Linked DNA regions of Tamandua tetradactyla. The protein of the gene in region 3 purifies or fractionates together with the protein of the main gene of each other region. This does not show direct contact. Links are inferred from orthologs where the notes say so. Each region holds a gene or a part of one and is shown on either strand. Other genes may lie near its edges.

Region 1 (10,733 bases), on a different chromosome or scaffold from region 3:
AATTCTGAAATACTGAGCTATTTGTGTATAGCCTGGTTATTTCCTGAAACTTCAGGTATTTTGTGACACCCGAAACTTAAGAGTTAGAGCTCTGAAGCTATGAAAGTCAGTATTATTCCAGCAGCAACTGTTTAAAAAATTGAAAAAGTGATCAGACTTCAAATAGAGATATGAATGAAGCTAATCTGGATAAGACTAAGGTAAATCAGAATATAGGGTAAAGGATAATACGGACTTTATCTTAAAACGTCAATTTCTATGTAAGACCAAAGATAGAGATGTTTATTTGGTGCATAAATTATATTTTTGGTAGTATATTATCTAGTTTAATTTGTATGGTCATTTATTAGAATACTATAATTACATGGAATGTTGAATAGCGTGTAAGATCTCATTGGTTTGTACAGGTTAGTGTGATGCACTGATACATCCCAGAACAGTTAGGGCAGAGAATAAAAAACTATTTGCGAAGTCCCCTTGGGGGTCTAGGAAGAAAGGAGGAAATATTCAATTTTCCCATCTGGGGAATTTCTGATACTCTAACAAGCAGTGGGGACGACCAATTCAAAAAAGGCTGAGCCCTTGATCTTGGGGTCTGCCTCAAGCCACTTCAATACACCATAAGCTAAAAAATGATATCTATATAATGCATAAAAATAACCTCCAGGAAAACCTCTTGATTCTGCTTGAAATCTCTCAGCCACTGAAACTTTATTTTGCTCATTTCTCTCTCCCCTCTTTTGGTCAAGGAGGTTTTGTCAATCCCTTGATGCTAGGTCCTGCTTCATTTTGGGATTTCTGTCCCACATGGCCAGGGAGATTTACACTCCTGGGTGTCTTGTCCCATGTAGGAAGGAGGGCAGTGAATTCACTTGCTGCATCGGCTTAGAGAGAAAGGCCACATCTGAGCAACAAAAAAGGTTCTCTGGGGCTGACTCTTGGGCCTAATTTTAAGTAGGCTTAGCCTATCCTTTGCAGGAATAAATTTCATACGGGCAAACCCCAAGATTAAGGGCTTGGCCTATTGATTTGGTTGTCCCCACAGCTTGTGAGAAGATCAGAAATTCTCCAAATGGGGAAGCTGAATATTTCTTCCTTTCTCCCCATTCCCAAGGGAACTTTGCAAATACTTCTTTATTCATTGTTCAAATTACTCTGGGAAATATTGTTGGACAAATCAACAAAATCTCACACCCCACACAAGACTCCATGTACTTACAGCATTCAACTAAACTGACCAAATAAATTAAATTAGGAAATGCACTGCCCTAAATATAAATTCTGCACCCTTTAGTCTCACACAGAAGTTGAATTATTAAAACATGGACGATATCACCCCTACCCTGCATTCTGATATACCTTAATCCTATCCAGATCAGCTTCATTAATATCTCTACTTAGAGTCTGATCACTTTTTCAACTTTTAAACAGTTCCTCTATGGGGTACTAGCCATGACTCTTGAAGGTGACTGTATAACTAAACAGCTTTTACAATGTGACTGCGAAAACCTAGTAGCTGATGCTCCCTTTATCCAGGGTATGGACAGATGAGTCAAAAAATAAGGACAATAAATAAATAAATAAATGGGGGGAGGGATAAGGGGTTAAAAAAAATTGGGTAGATTGCAGTATTAGTGGTCAGTGAGAGGGAGAGGTATAGGGCATGGGATGTATGGGTTTTTTCTTTTTTCTTTTTCTGTAGTGATGCAAATGTTCTAAAAAGATCATGGTGATGAATACACAACTATGTGATGATGATGCTATTATGAGCCATTGATTGTATACTTTGGATGGACTGTACACATATGAAGATATCTCAATTAAATTTTTTTTTTTAATGAAGGATGGATGAAGACATTCCCAGATAAACAAAAGCTAAGGGAATTAATCACACTTAGACTGATCCTACAAGGGATGCTAAAGAGAGTTTTGCAGGTTGCAAGGAAAGGACAACAGACAATAGATCAAAGTCACATGAAGAAACTAGGCTCTCTGGTAAAGATATGGACATGGGTAAACATAAATGTCACTACTATTGTTTTTTGGTTTGTAACTCCACCGTTTATTTCCTACAGGATCTAAAAGGCAAATGCATAAATTACAATCAGTGGTTTTGGACTTATAATGTATAAACATGTCATTTGCGACAATAACTACATAAGGTGGGGAGACAGAAGAGTATAGGAACACAGTATATGTACACCAGCGAAATTAAGTTGGTATCTAAACCAACAAGTGTGGTATAGAATGAGGATGTTAAATTTAAGCCCAGTGGAAACTATAAAGAAAATATTGGAGAATATGCAAACTCATACAAACATAAATTACAGTACAGATTGCCAGAGGCAGAGAACCAGGGGAATGGGAATTAATGCATAATGGGTAAAACTTTCTTGAAGATGAGAAAGTTTTAGTAATGGCAGGTGGTGAGAGTATTGTAACATTGTAAACATAAATACTACCATTGAATGGTATGCTTGAGAGTGGCTGAGATGGGAAAGTTTATGTTGTATATGTGAATCCACAATTAAAAAAGAGCAACTAAAGAAACAATAAAAATTAAATACAGTACGTGATTCTGGACAGGATCTATCCAGGGAGAAGGCACAAAAGGACATTACTGTGACATACAAAAAGTTGGAATACAGACTGTAGATTTTTTATCAATGTTAAATTTCTTGAACATGGTAACTGCACTTAAGGTGGTTACATAAGTGAATATCCTCGATCTTAGGAAACGAACACCACGTAGCAAGCCAGACTCAAGTGTTCAGAAAAATGGACCATAGATAGAAAAATGGACCATAGACATGGATAGATGAACGGATTGATAGAATGATGGACAGAGAGAATGATACGGCAAGAGACAGCAAAACGTTAAAATTGGTGGATTTGGTATCTAGAGGGAAGGTGTATGTTTAGAGTTCTCTGTACTGGGTTTGTATTATTTTTGTGACTATTCTGTAAATTTGAAAGTATTTTAAAATTAAACGTTTAAAAGAAAAGTGAAGGATGTCTACGGTTCCCAAGGTTTTCAGTGTTTGAATATGCTCTATAGCACTCTGAACATTAACTTCTCTCCCATAATATTTATTATGAGAATGTATTTTAGTTTTGTTGAAATGCGCCTTATGGAAAATGAGGAAACCATCTCAATAGAAAAGATACTGTTAAGAAATGAAAGCACTTAAAATCATATAAGTAATCACTAAAATGCTTTCCCTGAACCCAAATCCTATGATTCTTCTTCAATCTAGAAAAGCAGCGTACTTCTCTGTCACTTTAGAAATAAGTTATTTTTCCAACACTTCAGCATGGAAAAATAAATGTGTTATCTATAAAGAAACCCAACCTGAAGAGACCAGAGACCCTATATGCCCAATTTAGGTCACGATCACAAAACCGTAGAAGATTAACAAAAAACAAACAAACAAACAAAAAACCACAGGCTCCGAAGGAAAACTCCATGTTCCTAACACCCACAGAACTCCAAGTACGGTGGGTGCTTTTGTTTGAACTATTCTGATTTTCTCAGCGAACGGTTTACACTGTAGGAACTCAGATACTACACAAGTGGCGGTCTCTTAGCTCTGACTGCGCGTACAAAACTGACTCCACAGTCCCGGGGCAAGGCAAGGACCGACGGAAGTAAAACACCCCGCGGCTCCGAAACCAACCGAGAGGGGATCGGACAGCCCACCAACAATTCTCTGCCGCCACGCGCACCCGCGCGTCCCCCAGATGCCCTTGGAGGTAGCGGCCCGTGGACCGAGCCGCGCCCGGTCCCCGCGAACTCCAGTTCCGCCCGCCGACCGGTCCCTCCTCCATCCCGCCCCCGGGACTCCTCGGGCCCGCAGCGCCGACTCCGCCCCTGGCCTCCACGCCCGGCCCCTGGTTCTCTGCACAGAAGCCACCAGTCCGGGACAGGCGTGGCGGGGTCTGGCGAGCCCCGGGACCCCGGCTGCACCCTCTTCCCACAGGCCGCAAAGTCCGGCCTGGAGCAGGCACTGCCACAGCCCCAACCAGGGCCGCGCCCCGGGCTCTGGCCTCGGTTAACCCCACCCGCGTTTCTCACCTGCGTTCCCACCACGACGATCTGAGGCAGCTGGATAATGTCGGCGCCCACAGTGTTGAAGACGTCCTGAAGCTTGTTGATGACAGGAATTAGCGCCTCCATGACTCCGAGAACACGGGCCCCCTGCCCGCCTGGCCGCGGCAATGAATGGAGCCAGGGCCTGGAGTCCTCGTTCTTCCTCCTCTCCTCCGCCTTCTCCTCGGGAGCCGGCACCCATTGGACCCGGCCCGCCCGCTACCTGCCCCCTCCCGGCAGGCCATGCGCCAAGAGGGAGGTGGAGAGGAACAAAGGCTGCCGGGATTGGTAGTCCAGCCGCGCAGGACCGCCGGAGCCTACGGCGTCCAGAAGGCTGCGCGATGTGGACGGGCCCGGAGTGGAGCGCGAAGGGTTTCTGGGAGCGGACGCTCACTGGCTGGGGTCAAAAGGTTGGAGAGTGATCCCCGGAGAGTAGAGGAAGGCATACATTTATTCCTGTCCCTGAAGCACACCTGGTGTGAAAAATGCCAGATGTGGGTTTATATTAGATAGAGCGGAGTCTTTCTTGGCTACCCAAAATGTCGTTTCGTTATTAGGGTGATTCCTCAAGAAGAGCGAGGCAGAATGGTTTGAAGAATCGCTCATAAGCATCTTAAGTGTATCTGAGGCAAAAGTATGCCTGTACTCCAATATCAGTCGTGGGTGCTTTTGCAAAAACATAAGACCAGCCCAGGTTAGAACACGAAGGTTCTTCAGGGGTTTTGTGAGAACGTGTACGGGGAGAATTTTACAGTGATCCTTATTCACTATATCCTATATTAGTGTATCCTTGTTTCCTACATTCATTACTTGTTGTGGCGTGATTCTCGTCAAGGTGGAGATTTGATAACTGTCTTACTTGCTTTTTGCTGAGTGTGCCTACAGTTCTATTCCTCAGTGTCCTTTTCCTTTTTAGACATCTTTACGCCTCCGATCTTTTCCCATCGCACTGATGGTGAAAAAAAAAAATGGTGCCATTTTAGTAAAGACCCATAGCAGGTGAGAAAAGAACCCCATCCTTTTTTCTCCTTATTTGTGATGTTTGTTAAACTCTCTTTGTTAAGCTGTCACCCTAGACCATCAGCTCCTTGAGGACAGGGATGTTTGTCTAGTGTAACTAGCCCCTAGAAAGTGACACAGTATATCTATCTGCTATCAGTTTTCAATGAGTTTACAAGCCAGAGGAGACAGATGATGACACCATTATAATTAAATGAGTAAAAGACTATGGCTGGGTGTATTTTGTAACAGTTAACGGGAAAGAACAGAAGTCCAAGCAATGTTTCCTATAAGAAATCACTAGATTTAATCTCCAAACAAAGCCATCAGGCACCACTTACAGTAGTGGAAGTATTCACTAGACAAGTTTAATGGGTGCCATTTACTTGCACAGTCATGTACAGTGATCCTGGGGAGCATACCTGATTTGTTCAGCAGGACACGTGGTAAGCGCCCCATAAATATTTTGAGCAAAAGAATGAAATGTCATCTAAGCCTCTCGCCAAGTGTAGGAAGCATCCTCCTCTCTTTGGTTCTTTTTAAGAACAATGAGTCAAATTTCTGAATTCCTACAGAGCAAACAAAAGAATTTTATCAAGTCCCTTTATTTCTATCAAAAATATTATGTGAGATTCAGTTATTACCAAATTTGCTTCTCAGACCTCTGCTGATGCAGTTTTTCTTCTCTTCTTTTTCTCTGACCAGTCTGTCTCCTTACAAAAAAGAAAAGCAAACATAGAGGAGGTAGGCAGGTGGCCAAGCTGCAGGGACATAACCAGATTACAGCTTCAAAGGGGTAACATGCATGGGGGCAAAAATAATACAACTACATTTTTTTTAAATACAGCTACATTTTATAATGTTTTATCCCTTGTCTGAGGCACCAGTAGACACTGCTTTTTTCCTGTTTGCTAATGCCAAAACTAAAAGAGCAAGCATATATATATTCCAGAAAAATGAATGTTATGAATTTTGCAAGGCATTATACATTTCCATTTAAAGTATAAATTATCTCCTGGGATGGAATAGCTAGGGCCTTTTAAGAACTTGCTTCAGGAACAATAGTGACAGCTTTTTAAAAAAAAAATTTTTAATACCGAAAAACACCTAACAAACGCAAACATTCCTATTTTGATCATTCCGTCCTACATATAATCAGTAATTCACAATTTCATCACATAGTTGCATATTCATCATCATGATCATTTCTTGGAACATTTGCATCTATTCAGAAAAAGAAATAAAACGAAAACAGAAAAAAAATTTATGCATACCATACCCCTTACCACTCCCTTTCATTGATCACTAGCATTTCAAACTAAATTTATTTTAACATTTGTTCTACTATTTATTTTTATTCCATATGTTCTACTTGCCTGTTGACAAGGTTGAAAAGGAGCATCAGACACAAGGTTTTCACAATCACACAGTCACATTGTGAAAGCTCTATCATTATACAATCATCTTCAAGAAACATGGCTACTGGAACACAGCTCTACATTTTCAGGTAGTTTCTACAGCCTTTCCATTACATCTTGAATAACAAGGTGATATCTACTTAATGTGTAAGACTAACCTCCAGGATAACCTCTCAACTCTGTTTGGAATCTCTCAGCCATTGACACTTTGTCTCATTTCACTCTTCCCCCTTTTTTGTCTCATATCACTCTTCCCCATTTTGGTTGAGAAGGTTTTCTCAATCCCTTGATGCTGAGTCTCAACTCATTCTTGGATTTCTGTCCCACGTTGCCAGGAAGTTCCATTCACCTGGGGGTCATGTCCCACATAGACAGAGGGAGGGTGGTGAGCTTGCTTGTTGTGTTGGCTGGAGAGAGAGGCCACATCTGAGCAAGAAAAGAGGTTCCATTGGGGGTGACTCTTAGGCCTAATTTTAAGTAGGCTTGACCTATTCTTTGTGGGGTTAAGTTTCATATGAACAAACCCCAAGACTCGGGGCTCAGCCTATAGCTTTGGTTGTCCACACTGCTTGTGAGAATATCAAGAATTCAACTTGGGGAAGTTGAATTTTCCCCGGTTCTCACCATTCCCCAAAGGGGAATTTGCAAATACTTTTTTATTCATTGTTCAAATCACTCTGGGATTTATTGGGGCATCACTCTGGACAAACCAACAAAATCTCATGCCCTATGCAAGGTTCCATGTACTTTTGGTGTTCTAAGCTATCTACATAAGTTATATTAGGAAATGCACTAGTCAAAATATAAATTTTGTACCAAATGAACATTTTTGCTTTAGTCTCACACATAAGTTAAAATTTTTAAATATTAATTAACATCTATTTCCAGCACCCTGCAGTAATAACATTCCTTTGTTCTTCCTCATGCAGAAGCATTTTTTTAAATTTGTACATGTAGTCACTATCATTATATACTCTAGGCATTCCTAGATTATACCATCTCAGTCTTTATCGTCTATCTTTCTTTCTGATTTCATTTGTGCTCCCAGCCCTCCTCCCTCTATCATTCTCACATTCAGCTTCATTCACTCTTTCAGTGTTTTAACATAATTGTATTATAGTTAGGTAGTATTGTGCTGTCCATTTCTGAGTTTTACATTCAGTCCTGTTGCACAATCTGTATCCCTTCAGCTCCAGTTACCTAATATCTTACCCTATTTCTATCTCCTGATAGTCTCTGTTGCCAACGACATTCTCCAAGTTTATTCACTAATGTCAGTTCATATCAGTGAGACCACACAGTGTTTGTCCTTTTGTTTCTGACTAATCTCACTCAGCGTAATGTCCTTAAGGTCCATCCATGTTGTTACATACTTCATAACTTTATTCTGCCTTACAGCTACATAATAGTCCATCATATGTATATATCACAGTTTGTTTAGCCACCTGTCTTTTGATGGACATTTTGGCTGTTTCCATCTCTTTGCAATTGTAAATAATGCTGCTATAAACATTGGTGTGCAAATGTCCTTTTGTGTCCTTGCCCTCATGTCCTCTGAGTAGATGCCTAGCAATGGTATTGCCGGGTCATAGGGCAATTCTATATTTAGCTTTTTGAGGAATCGCCAAACTGCCTTCCACAGCGGTTGTACCATTTGACCTTCCCACCAATAGTGGATATGTGTGCCTCTTTCTCCACATCCTCTCCAGCACTTTTGGTGTTCAATTAAGCTGTCTACATAAGTTATATTAGGAAATGCACTATTTTCTGTTTTATTGATAATGGCCATTCTGGTGGGTGTCAGATGATATCTCATTGTGGTTTTGATTTGCATTTCTCTAATAGCCAGGGAAGTTGAGCATCTCTTCATGTGCCTTTTGGCCATTTGTATTTCCTCTTCTGAGAAGTGAGTGACAGCTTTTTAATTCTGTCTTTTTCCAGCAGAAGGAAGAATGATCACAAAGGCCAGTGCTTAAAATTCTTCCTGACCATATCACCAGTCAGGCTTGAGTAGGACTGCTTGATTGACCTATTCTTTGTGGGGTTAAGTTTCATATGAACAAACCCCACAATGCAAAAAAGGTCTTGCATTGTGTTAATCAAGCACAGAGGAAAAGAAAAGTATTTAAGCCAGCCAAAAGAGGAAGTAATGAGGACTTAAAAAAAAAAAAGTGTCTCTAATTTCATATTTTCTCCTTTTTTTTTTAACCTCAGTCAGTATATTGTATGTGCAATATGTCTCATTGGAGGGAAAAAAAATCAAATCAATTTGGGTTTCTCCACTCTTTAAGTTCAGAAAACTCTTGCTTGTAGGAAAGCCATTTACCGATAAGTATTTGTTTTGTCTAATGTAGGATGATGTGTTCCTAGGTGGGTTGCTATGAAATCAAATTAAGCCATTATCAGATACCATCTCCAAAGGCTTCTTTAAAAATTATTCTTCAACCATCCCTCTCTCACCATAGATTTATTATTTAAGCAGGACAGTTTGTTGCAAATGACAGAATTTTAACTTAAAGTAAGAAACACAAAAAAGGGGAATTAATTTGTATAACTAAGAGGCCAACATAACCTTGTCCTTAAGATCAGCTGGAACCAGGATCTCAGGCAGTATCAGCACTCTCTCCACCTCTATCTCTGCATCATTTATTTCATTCTGTCAAATCAACTTATTTATCTGGGATAAGTGAATGGGCAATGGTGGAGGCAGCAGGGGATGTCTCAGGGCAGTCAGGCTTAAGAAAATCCAAGGAAGAACAGAAACTTAAGTTTCCACTCCATTTCTCAGGTGTATTATCTTCCTATTACAGACTTAACAAGTCACTACAAATTTTTTGAGGCTTAAAACAGCAGAAACTTGTCAGCTGGAAGGGCATATGGCAAACACGGTGTCATCTGCTAGGTTTCTCTCCTGGCTTCCTGTTTCATGAAGCTCCCCAGGAGGATCTCCAAAGGTCACTGACTGGTGGACTCTGCTTCTCATGGCTGCATTGTTCTGCTCTCTCAGAATCTCTCTCATTCTCCAAAATGTTTCCTCTTTTATAGGACTTCAGAAACTAATCAAGACCCACCCAAATGGGTGGAAACATGTTGTCACCTAATCCAATTTAACAACCACTCTTGATTGAGTCACATCTCCATGGAATGATCTAATTACAGATTCAAACAAAAATTCGTACTGAATACGGATTAAAAGAAACAGCTGCCTTTACAAAATGGGATTAGGATTAAATGGCTTTTCTAGGGTACATACATGATTTCATACCAGCACAGGCACCAACAAGAGGTTACCTTCACTCAAGAAAGGCCAGTGGGGCAGAAACACCTCTGTCAGCCAGGTAGTCTGAGACTAACATCTGTTTGTCTCTTACTCCAGGACTCCACTGATTTCAGCCTTTTTCCTGTGGGTGTTGCTCACTTTACTTCTCCAGGGCTGGCTTTCATCTCTTGGCTACCCTTGGCTGTCTCCAGGTTCTGGCTTGCTTAACATCTCATGGCAATGTCTGCTGGGCTCCAAATATCTCCAAACATCCGTGTGTCTGTTCGCCACATGTCTGCATCTGTGTCAGTTCTGCTGTGAAGTTCATGTCAGCTCTGAGACTTCTGTCGTTTCTGTCAATTCTGAACTTTCTCACTAAAATGTTTCCTCTTTTAAAGAATTCCAGTAAACTAATCAAGCCCCCACCTGGAATGGGTGAAGTCACATCTCCATGTAAGCAAAAGACCACACCCACAATTGGGCGTGTCACATCTCCATGGAGATAATCTAATCAAAGGCTTCCAAACTACAGTATTGAATCAGGATTAAAAGAAATGACTGCTCCCACAAGATTAGATAGGACTAAAACATAGCTTTTCTGGGGTACATAATAATTTCAAACTGGAAAAATCTCCAAACTTCTACATGGGCTCTGAGCTTTCTCCAAAATGTTTTCTCTGTTATAGTACCCCACTAAACCTTAAATGGGTGGAGTCCCATTTCTATCGAATCAAAAGGCCACACCCCCAATTGGGCATGCTACATCTCTGTGGTGATAATCTAATCAAAATTTCTATCCTACAATGTTGAATCAAGATTAAAAGAAATAGCTGCCTCCATAAGGTTGGGCCAAGATTAAAACATGGCTTATCTGGGGTATATAATAGCTTCAAACCAGCCCAGAGAACCTCCCTGAGATTTTTTGAATTTGCGTTTAAAGGAAAATATTTTATCTCTTTGGTTATGG
Region 2 (11,103 bases), on a different chromosome or scaffold from region 3:
AAGACTGAGGCAGAAAGAAACAGTGACACTACAGAAACAAAATCAGTGAATAAGAAGATAGGGACATGAACAGCCAGGAGAGAAAGACAGAACCCAGTGGACCAAGACTGAGGGTCTTTATACCCACTACACCTCCAGCCATCAGATCCCTATCCACGCTCACCAGAGGAGGCCTCAGAGCTGCCATAGCTCCCAGAGGGGGTCCCGGGGCCCGAGCCATTGGTGGCAGCATCATGGGTGGTCCAGGAGGCCCGGGCAGAGGGGGTCCCACAAGGGCCTGATGAGGAGGCCGAAGGGCCATAGGGCGGGGACCACCTGCTGCAGAAGAGAGAGCAGAATCTGTCAGGGTGTTAGTGGGAGAGTTGGAGGAATTGGGGTGGGGTTTGTGGCAGGGATGATGACCCTGGCCCCCTCACCTGCTCTCTGCAGCACATGGGGGACGAAGGCCGGCCGCAGGATAGGGGCCCTCTGGGGGGCCACGGCTGTGGGAGAGAGAGATGGGGGTGCATGTCATGGGGGACCGGGGCATTGGGGGTGAGCTGGGAGTGGTTCTTTCAGCATCCGAAAAATCCTGGAGAAGAGCCTGGGGAGCCTTCTTGGAGAAGTGAGGGGTCTTTTTGTTTGTTCATTCAGCAAAAATTTACAATCGAAGATCTCTTCTGGGCTGGGCCTCAGGCTGGGCAATGCTAAGAACATGCCTCTAGAACACGGGCTTTCAGTTCAGGGAAGGGGGGAAGAGACCCATCATCAGAGAGTGACAGCAATAAGGGACCAAAGGTAGGATGAGGGCTGGTCAGAGGATGAGAGAAGGTTTTGTAGAGAGAGACCTATTAGTGAGAACAAATGGACGAGGAGCTGATCAGGCAAAGAGTGAGTTAAATATTACAGGCAGAGAAAGTATTTGTGAACAAACCTTTCTCCTTTTTGGTTTAGTGTGTCTTTAAGAGACTAAGTGGGGTGGGGTGGGTGGGAGTTTATAGTGCCTTATAAGGATAGGGAGGACAGCAGGCGCCCAAGCAAGGCCTTGTTTGCCGAGCACATGGATGTCCTCTGATGGCATTGGGGAGCCACAGCAGAAATGGAAGTTGGGAAGGATGACTGGGTCAGTTTTACATTTTGATCAAAACCATAGTGCAGAGAGAGAAATGCTAAAATTTCTGTTATCATCAGATAAAAATAACAAAAGTGTAACAGGGTTAGATCTAATTACCAAGTTTGATCTAATAGAGAGCATGGCAGAACTTTACATCAAACTGAGTATACACATTTTCTTCAGACACACAGAAAAGTAAAGGCACAGAAACTGGCCGGGTATATAAAGGTTACCGCAATAACAAAAGGTAAGAATGGCCTGGAGAGAGAACAGATTTGAAGATTAGAGCTGAGTGACAGTGAGTAAGGGAGATAGTGTGTAAAGACCTCAATGGGAGCACTGCTGGCACACCTCAGCAATATTTGGGACTCCAGGGGAGAGTGTAGGGATATCTCCCTGCCAGGGGTGAGGGTGTATATGGCTCTGGATGCTAGGTGAGGAGCTTGGCACTTGTTTAATAGTTTGTTCATCCCATCAACAGACAGTGTGTAATGCTTACTATGTGACAGGTGACAAGACCCCTGACCCTCATGGAGCTTATGTTTTAAAGGTGGCAAAAGAAGAAAAACCAAATAAGTAAGTAAATCATATGCTTATTAGAATGTGACACATGTTATGGAGAAACATGGCTAAAAGCAGTGATTAGGAGTGACAGCTGGGGGTGGGGGCAGTTTGCAATGATCAGGTTAAGCGCCACAAAGGCCAAACTAACTTAAAATAATCAGAGAAGTGACACGATCAGGTTTGTGTTTTAGGAAGCTGATAACATCAGGATGGGGGTAAAATGGAGAACTTGATTTAGAGCAGGAAGACTGAAGATTTAGGCAAGAGACTGAAGCAGGCTAAACAAGAGTACCTGGCAAACCCAGAGATGTTTTTGTGGTGTCTGGATAAATGTGGGGTCTGTAGGCCCAGACTTACCTGCTCGCCGCAGAAACATGGCTTCTCGAGCTTCTGGACTATCCAGGTGACTCCGATCACCAGGGCCAAAGCCAACTGTTGGGAAGGGAGAGAGGAGTGGTGGAAGACAACCCCTTTTTCTAATATTCCTGATACTGCCCTCACCGTTATCCCTAACTCCTTACTTACCTGGACCTACAAAAGGAGGGCCCACCATGGGAGGAACCACTGTGGCTGCAGCAGCTGCCCGGGCCTCCAGAGTTTGCTGGACCTGTTGGAGAGGAGGTCAGGATGAGGGGCTGGCTCAGATTCCCAAATGTGCTTTGGCTGGTTCAACTTGGTAGACTAAGGGTTTCATTTTTGGCACTTTACATGGGGCTGGTTATATAACCAGCAGAGTGCAGAGTGAGAAATGCTAAAATTTCTCAGTTATCATCAGATAAAAATAACAAAAGTGTAACAGGGTTAGATCTAATTACCAAGTTTGATCTAATAGAGAGCAGGGCAGAACTTTACATCAAACTGAGTATACACAAGCAAAGGGTCTCAGCTAAAATTTGTCACTTCTCCAGGAGGTCTTTGAGATGTCACTAGCTAAAGCTGTTTCATACCACCTCCCAGAAGCAACTTCTTTCTACCCTGTTTCATCTTTCCCTTAGCATTTAGCTCTTTGCGAAGTTATGTCCACCCCATTTTCTTCATCTCCCATGCTACCTTCCTGGTCCAGGCCATTATTATTTTTACAGTCTATTCTCCAAACCCAGCCAGTGTGACCCGGTTAACATCTAAATTAGACCATATCATTCCTCTACCTAAAATGCTCTAATGGCTGCCCAACTCAGAGTAAAAGCTAAGGTCCTTAATGTGGCTCAGAAAGCCCTATTAGATCTGCCCTCTATCACCCATCTGTCCTTATCTCCTCTCTCTTCCTCCCTGCTCACTCCACTCCAGTCAGAATCCCTCTTTGCTATTCCTTCAGCATGCCAGGTAGGTACCTGCCTCAGGGCTCTTGCCCTGGTCGTTCTCTCTGCTGAGAATGCTCATCTCCCAAGTATCTGCATTATTCTTTCCCTCACCTTCTTTATATCATTGCTAATATGTCACCTTCTGAGAAAGGCTTTCCCTGACTATGCTGGTAAGTCTCTTCTTAGTAAAATGTAAACTCCAAAAAGACAGTGATTGCTTTTCTGTTTTGTTCAGGGAACACAGGAGCATAAGAGGCACCTGAAAATTATGTGTTGATGGAATGAACAAGTCATTCATTTGTTTTCTTTTTTAATAGTATCTGTCACTCCACTCATTACATTAGCCAGGTCTGGAATACTCCAAATGCAACTAATGCATCTGAGGAAAATTTAACTTAAATGTAAATTTTAAATAGACATAGAACATTTCCGTCATTGCAGAAAGTTCTACTGAACAGTATGCTATAGAACATAAGTTCCCCAAGGGCTGAACTATTGTCTGTCTCAGTCAGTACTGTCTTCAGCACTTAGTACATTGTTTGGCACATAAAAAATATACTTGTCATGATAATTAAGAGCTAGCTAACTACTGTGGGCTAGGCATTAGTGCTGCCTGATTTATATGCTGTAGCTCAGCCATACCTGCTGGTAAGTGTTGGTTGCGATAATCGGGCGGATTACAGGAGCTGCTGGAACTTGCATTGCTTCTACCGTGGGGACCGTGGGCATCGCAGGCACACCAGCCGGGATCCCAGTTACCGGAGCCCCCAAAACTTCCTGTTCAAACCTGGGGGAGCAGGACAGACACCATAGTTCAAGGCCTCACACGAATTCTGGAACGCTGGGTATGTATCATGACAGCGCCTTCACCTCTGCCTACTTCTCCCCCAACCCCGCTCCCACAATCTCGAAGTCCCAGTTTCCGAGGAAAGAGCCATATTCCGGGCCTATCGGCGCCTAGAGGCTCCAGGGGTCAGCGGTTCTGACTCTGGAACAGCTTTTATCGCGCCCTGTTGCAGGCCTTACAGGGCCATCTCCGCCTCCATCTCCTTTAGGCGTTCTTCGCCGCTCTTGCCCGGGATGCCGGCGCCTGAGACCGGGACCATGGGTCCTCCTGCCCCCGGGAGTCCCGGGGCTGGCCCCGCCCCGGCCATCGCTGTTGCAGTCGCTGTCGCTGCTACTACCGCCTCGGCGCAGGCTCGCCGCTCCGCGGCCGCCGGCGGTTCGCTGTGTACTCTCTGGTTGCGTAAGGATGGGCGCTCGGGGATGACGTATACGAAAGCGACGGGCGCTGGTAGACAACGTCAAGACGCCAAAGGGGGCCCACCTTTCCCTCTACGCGGACCCGGAACGTGGGCAAATGAGAACCGGGCCACACCCGGAGAATGAGGGGGCTGAAAAGACTAACTGACGGAAGAACTTGGACCTATCGAGGCGCAGCAAAGACAGGGAGCGTAGCTTTCATGGAGGAACGTGAGCCAATGAGAGTGCGGCAAAGTCAGTTGGCTCCACCCACCAGCATGGAATCTGGACCTTTGAGAGCTCAGGAAAGTTCCGAGGCCTCGCCCAATGCCGGAAGTTTTTAAGGGCACACTGAACTCGAGGAGGGGCTCAGTGTTGGACGAGGTTGGAGGATCTGGGTTCTCACTTTCGAGTAGGCAAAAATGCTGCCAGATGGTGACTACAGAAACATGAAGTACATGATTAGGGAGCCTAGCGGACGCGCCCGAACGAGACTTCCTGGAGGGGATGACAGCTGACGCATCAGAAAACATTTGGCAGGGGAAAACGGGAGCGTTCTAAAGGGAAGGACCACTCAAGAACAGGCTCGGTCAAATGCGTCAACTTAGAAAGGCGCGCGCGTGTGTGTGTTTGGTTTTAGTGTCTTTCTTGGGACACAACTGACCCCTCCATCAAAATGTAAGGCGTGAACTGTGAGTCTTTTAACTTTTTTTTTTTTACATTATTAAAGTCCATACTTTATTCAGATTTCCTTATTTTTAATCTAATGTCCTTTCTCTGTTCTAGCATCCCATCCAGGATCCCACATTACATTTAATCAACACGTCTCCTTAGGCTCCACTTCTCTGTGACAGTTTCTCAGACTTCCCTTGCTTTTGATGACTTAGATAGTTTTGAGAAGTACTGACTAGGTATTTTATGGAATCTCTCTCATCTAGGATTTGTCTGATGTTTTAATCATTAGATTGGACTTACGGGTTTGGGGAAGGAAAACCAGAGGTGAAGTGCAATTCTATATATATATATATATAGTAGTACTATCAACGTAATTTGCCATATCTCATACCCTTACCCCCTCCCTCTTATTGACCACTAGTATTGCAGTCTATCCATTTTTTAACACTTTATTGCCCCCTATTATTTTATTTTTTATCCTTATTTTTTTATTCATCTGTTCATACCCTGGATAAAAGGAGCCTAAGACACATGGTTTTCATAATCACATGGTCACATTGTAAAAACTATATCGTTATGCAGTCGTCTTCAAGAATCAAGGCTACTGGAACACAGCTCAACTACTTAGCTGGTTTCAGCTACTTAGCTCCAGTCACTCTAATGCGCCATAATCTAAATAGGGATATCTAGGGCCGGCCATGGTGGCTCAGCAGGCAGAGTTCTTGCCTGCCATCTTGGAGATCAACTCTGTCTGAAATCTCAGCCATTGAAACTTTACTTCGTCTCATTTCTCTCTTCCTCCTTTTGGTCAAGAACTCTTTCTCAAGTCCATGATGCCAGGTCCCATGTTGCCAGGGAGATTTACATGCCTGGGAGTCATGTCCCAAAGAGGGAGGGCAGTGAGTTAACCTGCCAAGTTGGCTTAGAAAAAAAGGCCACATCTGAGCAACAAAAGAGGTTCTCTGAGGGTGACCAGGGCATAATTATAAAGAGGCTTAATTTCTCCTTTGCAGGAGTAAGTTTCATAGGAATGAAGTCTAAGATTGAGGGCTCAACCTATTGAATTGGTTGTACCTACTGTCTGCAAGAATATCAGGAATTCCCCAAATGGGGAAGTAGAATATTTCCTCCTTTCTCCCCAGTTCCCCAAGGGAACTTTTCAAATACTTTTTTATTCTCTGCTCAAATTATTCTGAGATGTATTAGGACATTACACTAACCTGGACAAACCAACAAGATCTCACACCCTAATCAAGAGTCCATATACTGGGCAGGCCACGGTGGCTCAGCAGGCAAGAAGGCTTGCCTGCCATGCCAGAGGACCCAGGTTCGATTCCTGGTGCCTGCCCATGTAAGAGTCCATATACTTACAGTGTTCAACTAAACTGACCATACAAGTTAAATTAGGTAATGTGCTACCTAAAATATAAATTTTGCACCAAATAAACATTTCTCCTTCTGGTTTCACACAGAAGTTGAAGTTTTAAAATATGGACCATATCATCCTTAACCCTGTAATCTAATTTACCTTAATCCTATCCAGATCAGCTTCGTTCATATCTCTAGTTGAAGTCTGATCATTCTTTCAACTTTTAAACAGTTCCTGTATAGGGTAATGCTGACTTTCACGGCTTCAGAGCCCAAACTCTAAGTCTCAGGTGCCACACAGATACTCGAAGTTTCTGGGAATGACCAGGTTCTGTCCAAACAGCTCAGTGTCTCAGAATTTAGAAATAACAGTTACAACTCCTGAATGTATGTGACTGCTGTAAGAGCTCACAATCTAGGAACCTTTTCAAAAGGCCCCAACTTGATAATCCATCTTTTTTTTTTATACATGGGCAGGCACTGGGAATTGAACCCGGGCCCTCTGGCATTCCAGGCAAACATTCTTGCCTGCTGAGCCACCGTGGCCCGCCCATAATCCATCCTCTTAACTTCAATTCTTTCAGTTTGAACATTATAGTTAGTCTGTATGAGTGAGGCATGATAATATTAGTCTTTTTGTTTCTGCCATTTCATTCAACATACAGTCCTTAAGGTTCATTCACCTAGTTGCATGTCTCACAAACTAATTCTTTTTTGAATGCTTGGTAGAGTTCACATGTGAAGCCATCTGGTCCTGGACTTTTTTTTTTGGGGGGGGGGGGGCGATTCTTGATGACCGATACAATGTCTTGTGATTTGCTTGTTGAGGTCGTCAATATCTTCTACAGTCAATGTTGGTTGTTAATATTTTCTAGGAAGTTGTCCTTTTCATCTACGTTATCTAGTTTATTAGCATATAGTTGCTCATAGTATCCTCTCATTACTTCCTTTATTTCTGCGGGGTCAGTGGTTATGTCCCCTTTCCAATTTCTGATTGTATTTATTTTTTGCATCCTCTCTCTTTCTTCTTCTTCTTCTTTTTTTTTTGTTAGCCTAGCTAAGGATCCATTGATTTTATCAAATAACCAACTTCTGGTTTTCTTGCTTTTCTCTATTGTTTCATATTCTAAATTTCATTTATTTCTGCTTTAATCTTCGTTATTTCTGTCCTCCATTTACTTTGGAGTTAGTTTGCTGTTCTTTCTCTAGTTCTTCCAGGTGAACAATTAATTCCTTGATTTTTTATCTTTCTTCTTCTTTTTTTAAATATAGCCATTTAGGGTAATAAATTTACCTCTCAGCACTGCCTTTGCTGCATCCCATAAATTTTGATATGTTGTATTTTAATTTTCATTTGCCTCAAGATGTTTACTGATTCTTCTTCTAATTCCTACCTTAAAACACTGGTTGTTTAGCCTCCATATATTTGTGAATTTTCTGTCCCTCTCCCTATTATTGATTTCCAACTTCATTCCATTATGATCCAAGAAAGTGTTTTGCATAATTTTGGTATAATTTCAGTCTTTTAAAATGCATTGATACTTGCTTTGTGACCCAGAATTAGGTCCATCCTTGAGAATAATCCATGAGCTCTTGAAAAAAATGTGTATTCTGCTGTTGTGCAGTGTAATGTTCTGTTAAGTGTGTGTTAAGTCTAGTTTACTTATCATAGTATTCAAAATCTGTTTCCTTATTAATCTTTTGTCTAGATGTTCTATCCATTGAGAAGACCCATGTATTGAAGTCTCCAACTATTAGTAAAGAGGTGTCTACTTCTCTCTTCAGTGTCGTCAGTGTTTGCCTCATGTATTTTAGGGCAGTCTGGCTTGGTGCAGAAATATTTATGGTTGTTCTGTCTTCTTGATGAGTTGTTCCTTTTATTAATATATAGTGTCCTTCTTTGTCTCTTTAATTGTTTTACATTTGAAGTCTAATTTGTCAGATAGTAGTATAGCTACTACTGCTCTTTTCTGGTTGTTGTTTGTGTGAAATATCTTTTTCCAACCTTTCACTTTCAATCTGTTTTTGTCCTTGCATCTAAAGTGAGTTTCTTGTAGACAGCATATAGATCCTGCTTTTTAATCCACTGTGCCAGTCTATGTCTTTTGATTGGGAAATTTAAGCCATTAACATTTTATGTTCATACTGTAAAGGCAGTACTTTCTCCTACCATTTTATCTTTTGGATTTAATATGTCATATCTTATTTTTTTTTCTTTTTACCTTTAATGATAGTCTTCATTTCTACACTCTTCTCCAGACCTCTCTCTTGTCTTTTCCTATCTGCCTGTAGTGTTCCCATTGGAATTTCTTGTAGGCCCAGTCTCTTTTCTGAGTGTCTGAAAATATTTAAAATTCTACCTCATTTTTTGAAGGACAGTTTTGCTGGGTATAGAATTCTTGGTTGGCTGTTTTCCTCTTTCAGAATTGTAAATATATCATACCACTGCCTTCTTGCCTCCATAGTTTCTGCTGAGAAATCCACACATGGACTCAACAAGTTTCCCTTGAATGTGATGGATTGCTTTTCTCTTGCTGTTTTCATGATTCTCTTTTTGTCTTTGACATTTGACAATCTGATTACTAAGTGTCTTGAATTTGGCTGTTTTAGTTTGCTAGCTGCCAGAATGCAACACACCAGAGACAGATTGGCTTTTAATAAAAGGGGATTTATTTTGTTAGTTCTTCAGAGAAAAGGCAGCTAACTTTCCATGCGTGGGAAGGCACACGATGGTCTCTGCTGGCCTTCTCTCCAGGCCTCTGGGTTCCAACAACCTTCCCCAGGGTGATTTCTTTCTGCATCTCCAAAGGCCTGGGCTGAGCTGCAAGTGCTGAGATGAGGTATGCTGAGCTGCTTTGGCTGTGCTATGTTGAGCTCTCTCATTTAAGCACCAGCCAATTAAGTCAAACGTCATTCATTGCAGCAGGCACGCCTCCTAGCCGACTGCAGATGTAAATCAGCAACAGATGAGGTTCATGTACCATTGGCTCATGCCCACAGTAACATAACTAAGTGCCTTCACCTGGCCAAGTTGACAATTGACTCTAACTACCACATTGGTTTATTTGGATCTATTTTGTTTGGGGTACACTGTACTTCTTGGATCTGTAATTTCATATCTTTCATAAGATATGGGAAATTTTCAGTGATTATTTCCTCCATTAGTCTTTCTGTTCCTTTCCCCTTCTCTTCTCCTGGGACACCCATAACACATATATTCATGTGCTTCATCCAATTCCCTGAGATCATACTCATATTTTTCTATGTGTTTCCCTGTCTGTTCCTTTCAGTGTAGGATTTCAGATGTTCAGTCTTCTCATTCACTAATCTTTTCTTCTGCTTCTTCACATCTGTTGTTGTAGGTCTCCAGTGTTTTGTTTGTTTGTTTTTTTAACTCTTCTGTTGTGCCTTTCATTCCCATGAGTTCTGCCATTTGTTTTTTAAAACTTTTGAATTCTTCTTTGTGTTCACCTAGTGTTTTCTTTTTTTCTTTTTCTTGAAGGTGTGAACTTTTACTGAACTGGTCTCATGTCAGTGTACAGGGAAGCCCTGGGTGCCTATGCAATATGACCTACTCCCAGGGAGACTATAAGCCTTCATACATGTAAATTTAGGGGACAAAAAGTGGGGACCATGATGGCTGAAAATTTAAAATAAAAATAAAAGGTGTTGTTAAGGCAGAATTTTTTTTAAAAAATTAGGATGATACAGTTTATACAAAAGCAGTGCTGTCACCCTCCCTGGTATGAATGTGGGTGAGGACTGGGCCATTCTCCTTAGGGAGAAGTGGGAAGCTTTTGGGAAGGCCAGGAACTACACGTAACAATTCATAGCATGGTATTTGGGGTGACTGTTAAAAAAAAAAACAATGTACAATCAAAGTCCTAGGCCAATTTGTAGAACTTTGGGGGTGCTTGCTCTAACCGACTGCTGTCACCTTCACCATTCCAGTTTTTAAATGTTAAGTCAAATGTCAAAAAACAAAACAAAATAACATATATATATGTGTGTGTGTGTGTGTGTGTGTGTGTGTGTGCATAGATATATTAATCAAATAAAACCATGCTAATTTTGTTTCATTTTCTGTGCAAGTTAGATTTTGTCAAGAAAGGGTGTAACACAACTAAGTAACAGTCCACCTAGAAGCATTTGTGGTGGATGATGGAGGGGCCAGACTCATTGTACTCCTTGCTGATACACATCTGCTGGAAGGTGAACAGTGAGGCCAGGATGGAGCCACCAATCCACACAGAGTACCTGTACTTGAGGGGTGTGGGTGTGTGATATTCTTGATCATCATTGTGTTAGGCACCAGCACTGTGATCTACTTCTGCATCCTGTTGGTGATGCCTGTATACATGGTGGTCCTGCCAGACAGCACCGTGTTGGTGTAGTGATCCTTGTGGATGAACAGGTCACAATTCATGATGGAGTTGAATGTGGTTTCCTGAATGCCACAGGATTCCATGTCCAGGAAGGAGGGCTGGAAGAGGGTCTCAGGATATTGGAACCCCTTGTTGCCAATGGTGATGACCTGTCTGTTGGGCAGCTCATAGCTGTTCTCCAGGGAAGAGGATAAGAAACATGTCAGTGGCCATCTTCTGCTCGAAGTCCAGGGTGACAGAACAGAGCTTCTCCTTGATGTCACACATGGTTTCCAGCTCAGCCATGGTGAAGCTGTTGCTGCACTTGGTGAGGATCTCCAAGTAGTCCATCAGGCCTGGCTGGCCAGGTCCAGACTCAGGATGGTGTGGGGTAGGGCATAGCCTCGTAGGTGGGCTCAGTGTGGGTGAACCCCTCACTGGAGTCCATGACAATGCTCATGGTGTGGCTGGGGACATACAGGGACAGCACAGCCTG
Region 3 (11,384 bases):
TAATGTGAAAAAGAACTAACAAAACTGAGTTAACATAATACTCTTCAGTTACAGGAATTCAAATTTTGTTTTATTAAAAAAAAACACAAAATGTAATAAATAAAAACCAATATTAAGACTTACGATCTATCGCTTCCACTATGCCTATCAAATTCACGTTTGCCACGAGAATCAAATCCATCTCCTCGGCCCATTCCACGTCCACGGCCTCCTCGACCTCTTCCAAGACCACCACGGCCCCGGATAGGCCGGTCAATCATCGGTCTACAGAGAAATAAAAAATAGGGGCGGGCCGCGGTGGCTCAGCGGGCAAAGTGCTTGCCTGCTATGCCGGAGGACCTCGGTTCGATTCCCGGCCCCAGCCCATGTAACGAAAACGGAGAAACAAAATACAATAAAACAAGAAAATGTTTAAAAGATGTTTCCCTTTCTTCCTCTCTTCCTTCCTTCTATCCTTCCTTCCTTCTCTCTGTCTTTCCTTTAAAAAAAAAAAAAAAAAAAAAAAAAAAAAAAAAAAATACTATTCTCCCAAGGTTTCCAGAAAAAGGAATAAGGGAATCCATTTTAAGAGTTCAAAAATGCAGGGACATGTTTACTGACTCATAATCTAACAGTTAAATACATGTTTTAGGAATTTCAATATAGTATATTTCTAAATACATAAAGAAATCAAAACAGCTAGGAAGCCCCCCAAAAGACTAAGAAAATTATTCTGGCATTCTCAAAAACATTACTAGTGAATAGTCTTTTTCACTGTTATATCATTGTACACTACAATCTAGGCAAAACTACTATTTTAGTTAAAATTAAATTTAACACACCTAATCTGCTATGCTTTTAACTCAACTTCTAGGGATAGGAAGGAAAAGACAGCAAAGTACGTTAAGCATTTCATTACACTAGAACATGAAAATCTATTACAAAAGGTCTAAAGCAGAACAAGGCACATGTATTTATGTTTCTCTGCAAAATGATGAGATCAACCACACTGTGACCTAGCGATTATATCCAATTTATAGCTTTATGATGTAATTCTGTAAGTTAACAAAAGGAAAAGATTTTTAAAAACTTACCGATCAACTGAAAATTCTCCTCCTTCACCCTTTTCTTCAAGTGGCTTCTCAAATCGTCGTTCTCGAGGTGGTCGCCTTTCTGGTCTCCTATCAATTATTTTCCCTTCACCCTGAAGTTGCTGATCAGGTCTTCTTCCAACACGTCTTATTCCTAAAATGATAAATAATATGCATAAGCAAATTATTTTTGCAACATAAAAAGTTGTTCACCTGTCAGTTCATTAACAAGCACTTTCTGTTGAACAAGGCAAACACAAGGTATCCCTAATGTGGATCACAGTACTTTAGAGAGATTCCCATCTAAAGATAATAAACTTTTCAAACTTCTATTTTGTTTGTCAACTCATTTTTTTCTCCCTGAAGTAGTCTCTATTACCGCCCTGGAAGCCATTCGGGAAGTTATTCTTCGTTTCACTTTTCAAGATATCAAAGTTTTTAATTAAAAAAACTTTTAAACAAAGTATTATGAGAAATTACACATTTTGGCTTTAGAGATACTTATGAAGATAATACTTGTAGTCACTCATAAGTAATAAAACAGCAAATCAATACACCAGTAACAGCCCCTTAAGAAAACAATGAAGGACGTATCTTATTTTACATTATTTGGATGGTGGGGAGAACACTATACAGTAAAAAAAATCTGTTATGAAATTACAAATCCAAAAGGAAAGCAAATGGCATTTAGGATTATTAGAGTGCATCCCCATAGCTTAAACTAGCCAGAAAAAAAAACCTCACCATCTTCCTCTCCTACTACAGTTTTACATATACAGATAAGTTTGTGTGTGTGTATATATATATATATAACATGTTTGCATGTACACAATACATTTATCACCAAACTTTTTAAAAAGCTATGTACAACTATGAAATTCATGAAAATTTCTTAGTTTGCCCTTATACTTATCTTTATTTTCAAAGAATCTTTAAAGACTGCACAAACATAAAAAGACCTCTTTTGCAATATTTAACAGGAGATGTATGGCACTAAATGATAGCTGAAGCATTTACTGATTTCTCCTCTTACTACCTTTTTTTCCTATTATAGAGTCTAGAGGCCCAACCAAAGGCAATCAAAATATATTACTGATGGGCTTAAGATTGGTAGTTAAACTCATGACTGTAAGATTCCAGGTATGCTGTAATTCCCAAACCACAATTTTTGACAAAGCCAAAAAAGCAGCTGAAGGACTGATTTTATAATAAGATCTTAAGTTAATTCATTCTTGTTCTAAGAAAGTGGAACACCATTAGGCCACAGCCAAATTGTTCAACCATCTTTAGCATCAAAAATTCATTCCACGTAAATTCAAGAGACCATGGATGATAAGCCTTACCCCAAAGCCTTAAATATATTTTTTCAGAGGTACAGTGTATTAGTGTTCCATTAGGACAATGGAACCAGTCCTTATGATATCCAAGCAAAACACACCCAAATGAACAATGACTTGCTTCTCCACCCAACTTTCAATATTAGGCTTAGAGAATCTAAACTGCTAAATCTAAAACTTACTAAATAAATTTACCCAATAAAAAATGATTGACATTAAAAGTGCAAGCTCCTCTATTTCTCTACACTTGCAAGCTCATTCATTTTCACTAGATTCCAGAATTTTATTATTAAAAACAAGCTATAAACTTAAATTCATATAAAACCTTAAATATTTATCTAAAATATGTCCAACACTGTGCAAGGATCTATATCAAAGGTACAGAATGCATGATCAGATAAGAATCTGTCCCACTACAAGAGGGGAGGGACTTGTATGCCCAGAACATTGACAAGTAGTAGAATCTTAAAACAAATACTTTTCATTCAACATTTCTTTCCCATACTTACAAGCTTGTGTTTTAGTCCTGGAAAAATTTATGAAATAATTCTCTGCACTTACAATTTAAAGTACTGGTTTCCAGGTAAAAGTATGTTTCAAAGATGGGCTTTTATTTTAATGATCAGAACTGAGGTATTAAATCATGCTTCATATGTTGAACATTCAAAATGGGGTAAACACATCTACCAGTAAACACTTTAGATTTATTCCAGACTCAATTTTTTCATGTGCTTTCTCTGGATGAGCATACTCAACGAGATAAAGGAGAAGAGTCCAAATAATTGCATAAAGTCAGTGTTTCTTAAGACAGGAATTAAATGTTTTATTCAACTGTACCACAGGTTGCCATAAATCTTAATCAGCTGAATAGATATTTGGTCTAACTGATAAACACATGCTTTCTGATATTCCAACTTGCGCTTTTCCCCAACATATAAATTTATTACAAGAATTCTTTTTTTGTTTTATTAACCACCCATGCTCTTTATTCCAAGTTTCACAAAACAGCCACAAAAAAATCCTAAACCAAAATCCAACATTCTGAGCACACGTGAAATTTTGTTTTGTTTTCAAGTCAGTTGACTGCTACAGTAGGCAAAATTAATGAGACAACTTTTTTCAGGAGCACGTGGCAGTAAAGGGGAATCTCAATTTTCTGAATAAAAACACAACTTGAAAGATTCTGAGCTTAAGTTCTACCCTCACTTGCAACTGACAATGTATGTTTTTTACATCCTCAATTATTTACTTTTTCACCCCCCACAATAAGCTAAAACGTAGAATGCAAAAGTCAAGCTCAAGACAACCCTGTGAAATTCACATCGCCCGCCAGTAAAATCTTGACAATGCTTCAGGCACACGCGGAAAAAAGGCTACAGGCTCAAGAGTTCTGCCGCTGCTAATGTTGTGACAGCCTAAACACCTATTTCACCACGAGGCCCAGGCCACGCCACGCCATACGAACTGAGCGCGAGGAGTTGGGAGAAAAGGATCGTGAGACGCCGGCGATCCGAAGGATTTCCGGCAATAATCAGTCTTCAATCAGAATTCCCACTCTGCTTAACTGAGTGTAGCCAAATTCCTCACCCATCCAAACAGTCTAACTCACTTTAGCAAGTTAATAGTGAAGGTGGGGGGAGGGGGCTTAGAAACCACATGTAGCACCTCGAACAGCAACTTACTGCATAATATCTTGACTTGAGCACAGAAGTAGCTTACATGTCAATTCTGACCCCAGAGCTTTTCACTCGGGTACTCCACACCATCGTGGGACAAGATGGCAGAACAGAAGCTAAACCAGAAAACAGCACCTCGAAAGACCACGCTAAGAGCTTTGGGCAGAAAGAAGCTGTAGGCTCCCAAACTTCTTTCCAACTACAAAAGCTTCTAAGTGTCTGGATTCCCCGCACCTCCAGTCCATGCGCTCGCCCGCCAAGGAATCCGGCGGGAAGGGAACAGCTTCCTAGGACACCGACTACGCTCGAGGAACAGCTGAGGAACAGCTCCGGACCATGCTCCTCCGGCTGAGAACCTGAGGCGGGAAAGGGGTGGCTCCGGGGGCTCTTGCAGGTGGGGGTTTAAACTTGGCACTACCACGCTCCCAGCACCTCCGCAGGACCTGGCTTTGGTCGCATGGGGGGAAGCGTGAATAAATCGGCGGCAAAGTCTCCCATAGCCCCTTGGAGCTACAGAAGCAAGTGGCAGTCCCAACTCTCCTCCATCCCTAGTCTCCCGCACCTTCTACCCCACCTTTACCTTCTTTCTTAAGCGCCACGGGCGGCTGCGCCTCCTCTTTCTTGTCAACCACACCAACGTTGGGGGGCAGCGGGTTCTTGCGGTCTTTCTGGGACTCCTTACGCAGCTGTTTGCCCGCCGCGTTGGAGTTGGTCTGGGCTGCGGCCTGAGCTGCGCTCTTGGCCCCAGGGCCCCCAACGCCGCCCCCGCCGGCTTCTTTTTTCTTGTTCTCTGCCGCCTTCAACACCTCGAAGGGATCCGATTCGTCGTCAAATAACTGATCGAATCGGTTCGTGACCACGCAGCCGAAGCCTTCCTGTAGGTGGCCAGGCATGATGGTGGCTCGGCGGCGCGTTCCTCCACGGATTGCAGCGGGCCGCGCCGAGCCAAGAGCGCCTGCTTGAGCTCTTCCCACAAGATGGCCGGGCCGAGAGAGGGGGGCCGTCTTCTCTTCCGGCGCCAGACACACATCCGGGAGCGGCCTGCGCCGCACGGCATCATGGGGTGCGTAGGCCAGAGTCGCCTTTCCAGAAGCGGCTTCCCGCTTCGGGACTACAATTCCCAGGATGCACCGCGCGGCAACTCTTCGCGCGCGCTTCAGAGGCGGGACCTCGGGGAGCGAGCAGAGCGTGCGAGCTGAGGGAGGGTAACTGAGGGAGGGAACGCGGGACAGTGGGCGGGGCTGTACCACCTGCTCCAGCCACCCTTAAACGCTCTAGGTCTCCAGCCACCCTGAAAACAGGAAAACGTGACAGCATGTTTTGCTCGAGAAAGTGCTCGGTCTTTGCTTTTTCTCACCCCGCCTCCGGGCCCGGGCTAACTTTCCCCACCTCTCCGGGAGGGTCAAGGTGACTCCCAGATCTTTCAGCTGGAAACTCACGAAGTTCCGGGGGTGCGGGGGGTGCAGAGGTGCCGCTCCGGCCTGGCGAGGCGGGAACCGGTCTGATCCACGTGCCTAGCTGCTCCGTTGCTGGAGTCGCTCTCTTTCCTCCCCAATAATGTATCCAGGCTTTTCTGATTTAATGCGAAGCGGAGTACGCTTCCTCTCTCGGGGACGTGAACACCGCGTAACAGAATTAATCAAAGGGACACGTTGAGCTGTCCATGGGAGTGTGGCGCGCCTTTCCCCGGCAAGAAATGCCTTGTTGCTACGGATGCTTTAGAGCTGTTAGCTCCTGACTGTGCAGCACCAGACACTGGGCAGGCTGCGAGAAGAAGGCAATGCTTGTAGAAAGACTTTTTAGAGCCAGTCGAATTGTCTGTTAGTGTCCGGCAGGTCAAGGCTTAGGTGGCTGTGGTGTAATTACAACGAATGAGCATCTCATTGTATGTGTGCTGGCAGGTGCAGTGAGGGGAGAGGAATATGTCAGCAAATTAAGTGTCTTTACTAAAAACATTGATATTAGTTAAGAACATTAAAATCCACTAAGGTAATGCAGTATCAATGCATATTTGGTAACACTCTAAGTGTTTAAACACATCGTTATAATTTTACACCTTTTTCCCTTATGCACCAAGTGTTATGACTACTGTAATCTCAACAACTTGTTAAGTAGGTTTTGGTCCTTTTCACAAATAAACCATTTCAGACAGGTAAGATAACCAAGTTCACACCTTTTTTAGTAAATGTCAGTGTCATGAGTTAACCCCATTATCTAACTCCACTATGAGACTGTTGACATCAACTCTTTGATCTAGACTCTGCCTTCTGTTAGCAGTCAATTATTAATTAATTTCCAATATTTAGTAAGATTTAAACACTGTTGCATGTTGGTCAGGGAATGTAACATTGATGAATGTACTTATCAATTTCTTAGTAGATCTTAAATGAATTCCTTAAGAGGGAAAATAGAAGAGTCATATTACAGACATGTGGCAGCAAGCCTAGTGGTTTTCTTGTTTCTAAATTCTGGCCGCCTCCAAAATTGGCTTATTTCCCTGCTGCCTCAGTCCCAGCCATACACCCTCCTCCCCCATCCTGGCTTCCACAGTCTCTGACGCTTGTGGCTCCTACCAAAGGCAAGAGACAAGGACCTTTTGACCATTCTCTTCCCACCCCTTTGAAACTAGCTCGAGTGAAATTTGGAAAGTCTCTATACTTTTCCAAGCCCTTTTCTCTTCACCAAAGACTGTTAATATCTGTAGCTTGGAGACATCTGCTAAAACTCCATTTCTTACTTCTTAGAGGCTAGTGCCACAACAATAATAGTTAAAGCTTGATATTTTACTATGTGCTTGGCACAATTTACATTTGTGATCTCATTTAATCTTTACACCAACTGTATGAGGAAAGCGTTGCTATTCCCTCTTCAAGGTAACGAAAGTGAAGTGCAAAGAGGTCGAATAATTTGCCTTCATTTTACTCTTCTTTTAAAATCATTTTATTTTGGACAGTCCAATAAATAGCAAGTTTTTAGGTTTCGATATAGCCAACAAAGTTCTGAATGCATGCATCTAGGTTAACTCTTATGGAATAGAAAATATATTTCACATTTAATACTATTTATCTAACTCTTCTGATAATAAACCTTTAACTCAACAGCTGTTATTGAATAAACCTATGTGTGATGGGCTGCTCTGAGCCCTGGGGGGTCTCTGGTGAACAAAACAGGCAAGGGGCCTGTTTCATGGAGTTTTACACTTCGGTAGAGGAGAAACAAAGAAGAAACAAATAATACATCCCCAAGGGCAATTTCAGGGAGTGATAAGTACCATGAAGACTGTCTATTTGGATAATGTGATGAGAGAAGGGGACCATTTTTGGGGGTTGTATGATCAGAAAAGCTATGTGAACTGATGCCTGCCTGAGTGATGTGAAAAAGCCAGCCTTGAGAAGATTTAAAGAGAAAAGCAGAAGGAACAGCCAACAGGAGAAGACGAGGTAGGAAGGAGCGTGTATGTTCCAGCAGCAACAACAACAACAAAAAAACACAAAAAGCAGAACAGCATGTTGTGTGCCTGTAACTAAGTGAGCTTGAGGTTGGGGTGAAGAACTGGAAGAGAAAGCCTGTAATGAATACAAAGGTGATTAAGTCTGAGTGTGCTTTCAAGTTGCTTCCAGTTTCCTTTTTTAAATATTTTTATTGAGAAATCTTCACACACATACAATCCATCCACAGTAGACAATCAAGGGCTCACAATATCATCACATAGTTGTGTATTCATCACCATGATCATATTTAGAACCCGGTTTCCTTTTTAAAGAAGGAGGCTTCAGCTAACATGGTAATAAAACTCAAAATTTAAATCAGGAAACTATTTTGTAATCAAAATTCTCACTTGCTATTCTAAAAGAGACCAGTTTAACATGATTGAAGTTCTAACCCGATAAACACAGGCATGGAGGCAGGCACAGGCATTCCTACTTGATACAATGGAAGCACAAACATCATCTTTTATTATCTAAGATGAGAGTCCCCTCTCTAGACTCCAGCTGTTCTTGGCTTCTGTGAAGTGGATTACAGGCAACGATACCAAACAAAGATTGATGGCAGAAGCCTTCCTCAGGGTGATACTGCATTATTTACCAGGAGCTACCATAGACCTGAGGCTGACATGTCCAGGAGGAGCTCCTAGAACTGAAAAATTGGAAGAGTAATTAATGATAATACCATGCTCAGCCCCAGTAAGCTCCTAATATATGATTGCTATTTTCTCAGAGCTTTGACCTGTTTTCAGAGACACTACATGCTCTTGGTTGCTAGCTGAAATCTCTTAGGTTTCTGCTGCTCCCAGAGGTAACAAATGGAAAGGGAAAAAGAGATGGAGCCTCATGGCTGATGTTCACAGCTATGCTTATGTGTAGAAAATTTAGAGCAAATTGTGTGTGTGCAGAAATCAGGTCAGGCAGAGAATCAGGAGGGAAGACTATAAAGTTCCACTGTCCACCACCACCACCACCACTCTAGGAGTTTAGTGCCAACTTTGGAAAGACTAGGTTTGAGTTGGTTAAGGGTTTGGATTTATTAAATTTTAATCAGTTCGCTTCCCAGTGCCTGCCCATGAAACAAAAAAATTTAATCAAGGCTACCTGACTTCCTGGAAATTGCATACAAAATTGTGGCATATTTCCAGGTTTTTCATTTTTTTTATAGCGTTTTAATAACTTTCATGAGATCTGTGACAGCCTCTAAGAACAGAGCTGTACAGACAAAACGTAGATTAGTGGAGGTTGGGGGGTTTCAGTGGGAGGAATGGGCAATGACTGCTAATGGGCATGGGTTTCTTTTTAGGGTGATAAAAATGGTCTAAATTAGATTGTGGTGATGGTGGCACCTCTCTGTGAATAAATTAAAAACGTTTTATTTTTTAAATGGGTAATTTTTAAATGGGTGAGTTGTATCATATATGAATCATATCTAAATAAAGTTGTCTAAAAATAAAGCATCTAGGGCGATGCAATGCTGGCACAGTAGCAGGATTCTTGCCAGAGACACAGGTTTGATTCCCAGTGCCTGTCCATGCAAAAATAAAGAAATTAATTAATTAATTAATTAATTAAAGCATCTAAGACATTCAAAAGACTAAGACCACTCACTGTTCTCTAAGGTACAAACTTCTCACCACAGTCTTATTCTCTAATCCCCAAATACTCACACTCTCACGTACCGCATGCTTACTATGTGCCAGGCCCTGTGCTAGGCACTCTACATGTTAATAGTTCTCACAAACTATGAGGTAGGACTATTACCCACACTAAACATGAATTCAACGGATGCTAGAGATTGGATTTGAGTCCAATTCTATCTGGCTCCAAAACCTCATTTTCTTTCTGTTATGCTACCTGTACTTCTCACACTTTTCCAATCAAATACCCATATTGGCTAGAAGGATACATTGTCTCTTTGATTATTTGCATTATTGCCCAAACATCTCCTGTTCTTCATCCTCAAGGCCAGCAATCCATTGCAGCCTTACGTTCTCATCAGGAATATTTCCAACGACTCCAAATGGTTGTCCTGACTCCATATCTAACCTTGTCTAGATTATTTAATTCTAGCTCTTCTAGACTTGACAGTTCCCCATTATTTGCAGTATGAAGTCCAGAATCCTCTGCAATGCATTTAAGGCCCCTGACAACCTGGTGTCATTTTCTTCCAATTCTGGCCCCCTGCCCCCTACAATGCCCCGTTACCCTCCAACTAGACAGAACTACTTACTCTACCCCCTCCTGCTCCTGCATGTGCCTCCCTACACAGCACAGCTCATTACATACTCTACAATTCACATTCCGTTTTAGTAATTAGTAATTTAGTAAATAGTGGCAAATTCCTTCTCATTGAACCTCTTTTATTGTTCAGGTATGGCCTCTCTCTCTAAGCCAACTCAGCAGGTGAACTCACTGCCCAACCCCCACCCTCTCGTGGGACATGACTCCCAGGAGTATACATCTCCCTGGCAATATGGGACAGAACTTCTGGGATGAGCCAGGACTTGGCTTCAGGGGATGGAGAAAGCCTTCTTGACCAAAAGGGGGACAAGAGAAATGAGACAAAATAAAGTTTCACTGGCTGAGAAATTTCAAACAGAGTTGAGAAGTTATCCTGGAGGTTAGCTTATGCATCATATAGATATCCCTTTTTAGTCTATGGTGTACTGGAGTGGCTGGAGGAAAGTTCCTGAAACTGTTGAGCTGTGTTCCAGTAGCCTTGATTCTTGGAGACAATTATGTAACAATATAACAATTACAATGTGACCGTGTGATTGTGAAAATGGTGTGTCTGATGCTCCTTTTATCCAGCATTTGGACAAATGATTTTTTAAAAAAGGATAAAAAAATAAATAAATCATAGAGGGGATAAAGGGTAAAATAAATTGGATAGATTGAAATACTAGTGGTCAATGGGGGTGGGTAAGGAGTATGAGATATATGAGTTTTTTCTTTTTTCTTTTTATTTCTTTTTCTGGAGTGACGCAAATGTTCTAAAAATGATCATGGTGATGAACACACAACTATGTGATAATATTGTGAGCCATTGATTGTACACCATATATAGACTGTATGTGTGTAAAGATGTGTTAATAAAAATTTAAAAAAAAATTCCTTCTCATCCATCAGGTCTCACTTTGAGTTCACTTCTGCTGAGACACTTCCTCTGCCCTCCAAAACATCATTCCCTCTTATATATTCTCATATTACCCTGCTTGCACCCCATTTTCTGTGTTTATCACACTGTGTTGTCATTGCTTGTCTATTTACCTCTTATAGCAGTTTGTAAATATTGGGGGCAGGGGGTGTATTTTGCTGGTATGCCCTCAATGCCTAGTGCTTAGTATGTGAAGTGTCTATTGAAGAAATGAACGTGCCTGTATTTCTCTCTACATTGCATGTACTTCTATTCCCTGTGCCTAACATACTTCTATTTCCCAATGTCTGTTCCATAATACCTAATGTTTACTGAGGATTACTCTGCACCAGGTACTATTATTAGCATTTAATATGGAGTAACTCATTTAAAACTCATAACTCTGTGAAGCCAGCGTTATCATTAACCTATTTTATATAAGGGACCCGAGTCACAGAAAGGTTAAATAACAAGTTGTGTGACCTTGAGCAAGTAAATGGCAGAGTCACAATTCAAACAAAGCAGTCTGGTGCCAGAGTCTGTGTTAACACTATGCCATATTTCCTGTGTGTGTGTGTCAGCGTCTGTCCAACAAGGGAATGAGTAAGTGAATCCTTTCCATTTTCCACAGGGGTAAAATCCCAGAGCATTGAGCTTATTTAAGGAGGGTGGATAGG

The links. Proteins that work in one complex are often made in the same cells at the same time.
Region 1: the proteins of SERBP1 (region 3) and DNM1L purify together in Homo sapiens (affinity purification with mass spectrometry; 3 studies listed by BioGRID and IntAct, with this or other methods). This does not show direct contact. The link is inferred for Tamandua tetradactyla from reciprocal best matches to the Homo sapiens genes SERBP1 and DNM1L.
Region 2: the proteins of SERBP1 (region 3) and RBM42 purify together in Homo sapiens (affinity purification with mass spectrometry; 3 studies listed by BioGRID and IntAct, with this or other methods). This does not show direct contact. The link is inferred for Tamandua tetradactyla from reciprocal best matches to the Homo sapiens genes SERBP1 and RBM42.

What each region holds. Positions count from the first base shown.
Region 1 is NC_135333.1:95,956,413-95,967,145, reverse strand, and holds the start of DNM1L (dynamin-1-like protein), read right to left. Parts: upstream 4,350-10,733; 5' UTR 4,178-4,349; coding exon 4,076-4,177; intron 1-4,075. UniProt on the Homo sapiens protein: Functions in mitochondrial and peroxisomal division.
Region 2 is NC_135342.1:30,376,723-30,387,825, forward strand, and holds the start of RBM42 (RNA-binding protein 42), read right to left. Parts: upstream 4,350-11,103; 5' UTR 4,113-4,349; coding exon 3,985-4,112; intron 3,746-3,984; coding exon 3,601-3,745; intron 2,265-3,600; coding exon 2,183-2,264; intron 2,090-2,182; coding exon 2,015-2,089; intron 483-2,014; coding exon 417-482; intron 340-416; coding exon 164-339; intron 1-163. UniProt on the Homo sapiens protein: Binds (via the RRM domain) to the 3'-untranslated region (UTR) of CDKN1A mRNA.
Region 3 is NC_135337.1:58,508,171-58,519,554, reverse strand, and holds the start of SERBP1 (SERPINE1 mRNA-binding protein 1), read right to left. Parts: upstream 5,101-11,384; 5' UTR 4,977-5,100; coding exon 4,664-4,976; intron 1,225-4,663; coding exon 1,074-1,224; intron 265-1,073; coding exon 124-264; intron 16-123; coding exon 1-15. UniProt on the Homo sapiens protein: Ribosome-binding protein that promotes ribosome hibernation, a process during which ribosomes are stabilized in an inactive state and preserved from proteasomal degradation.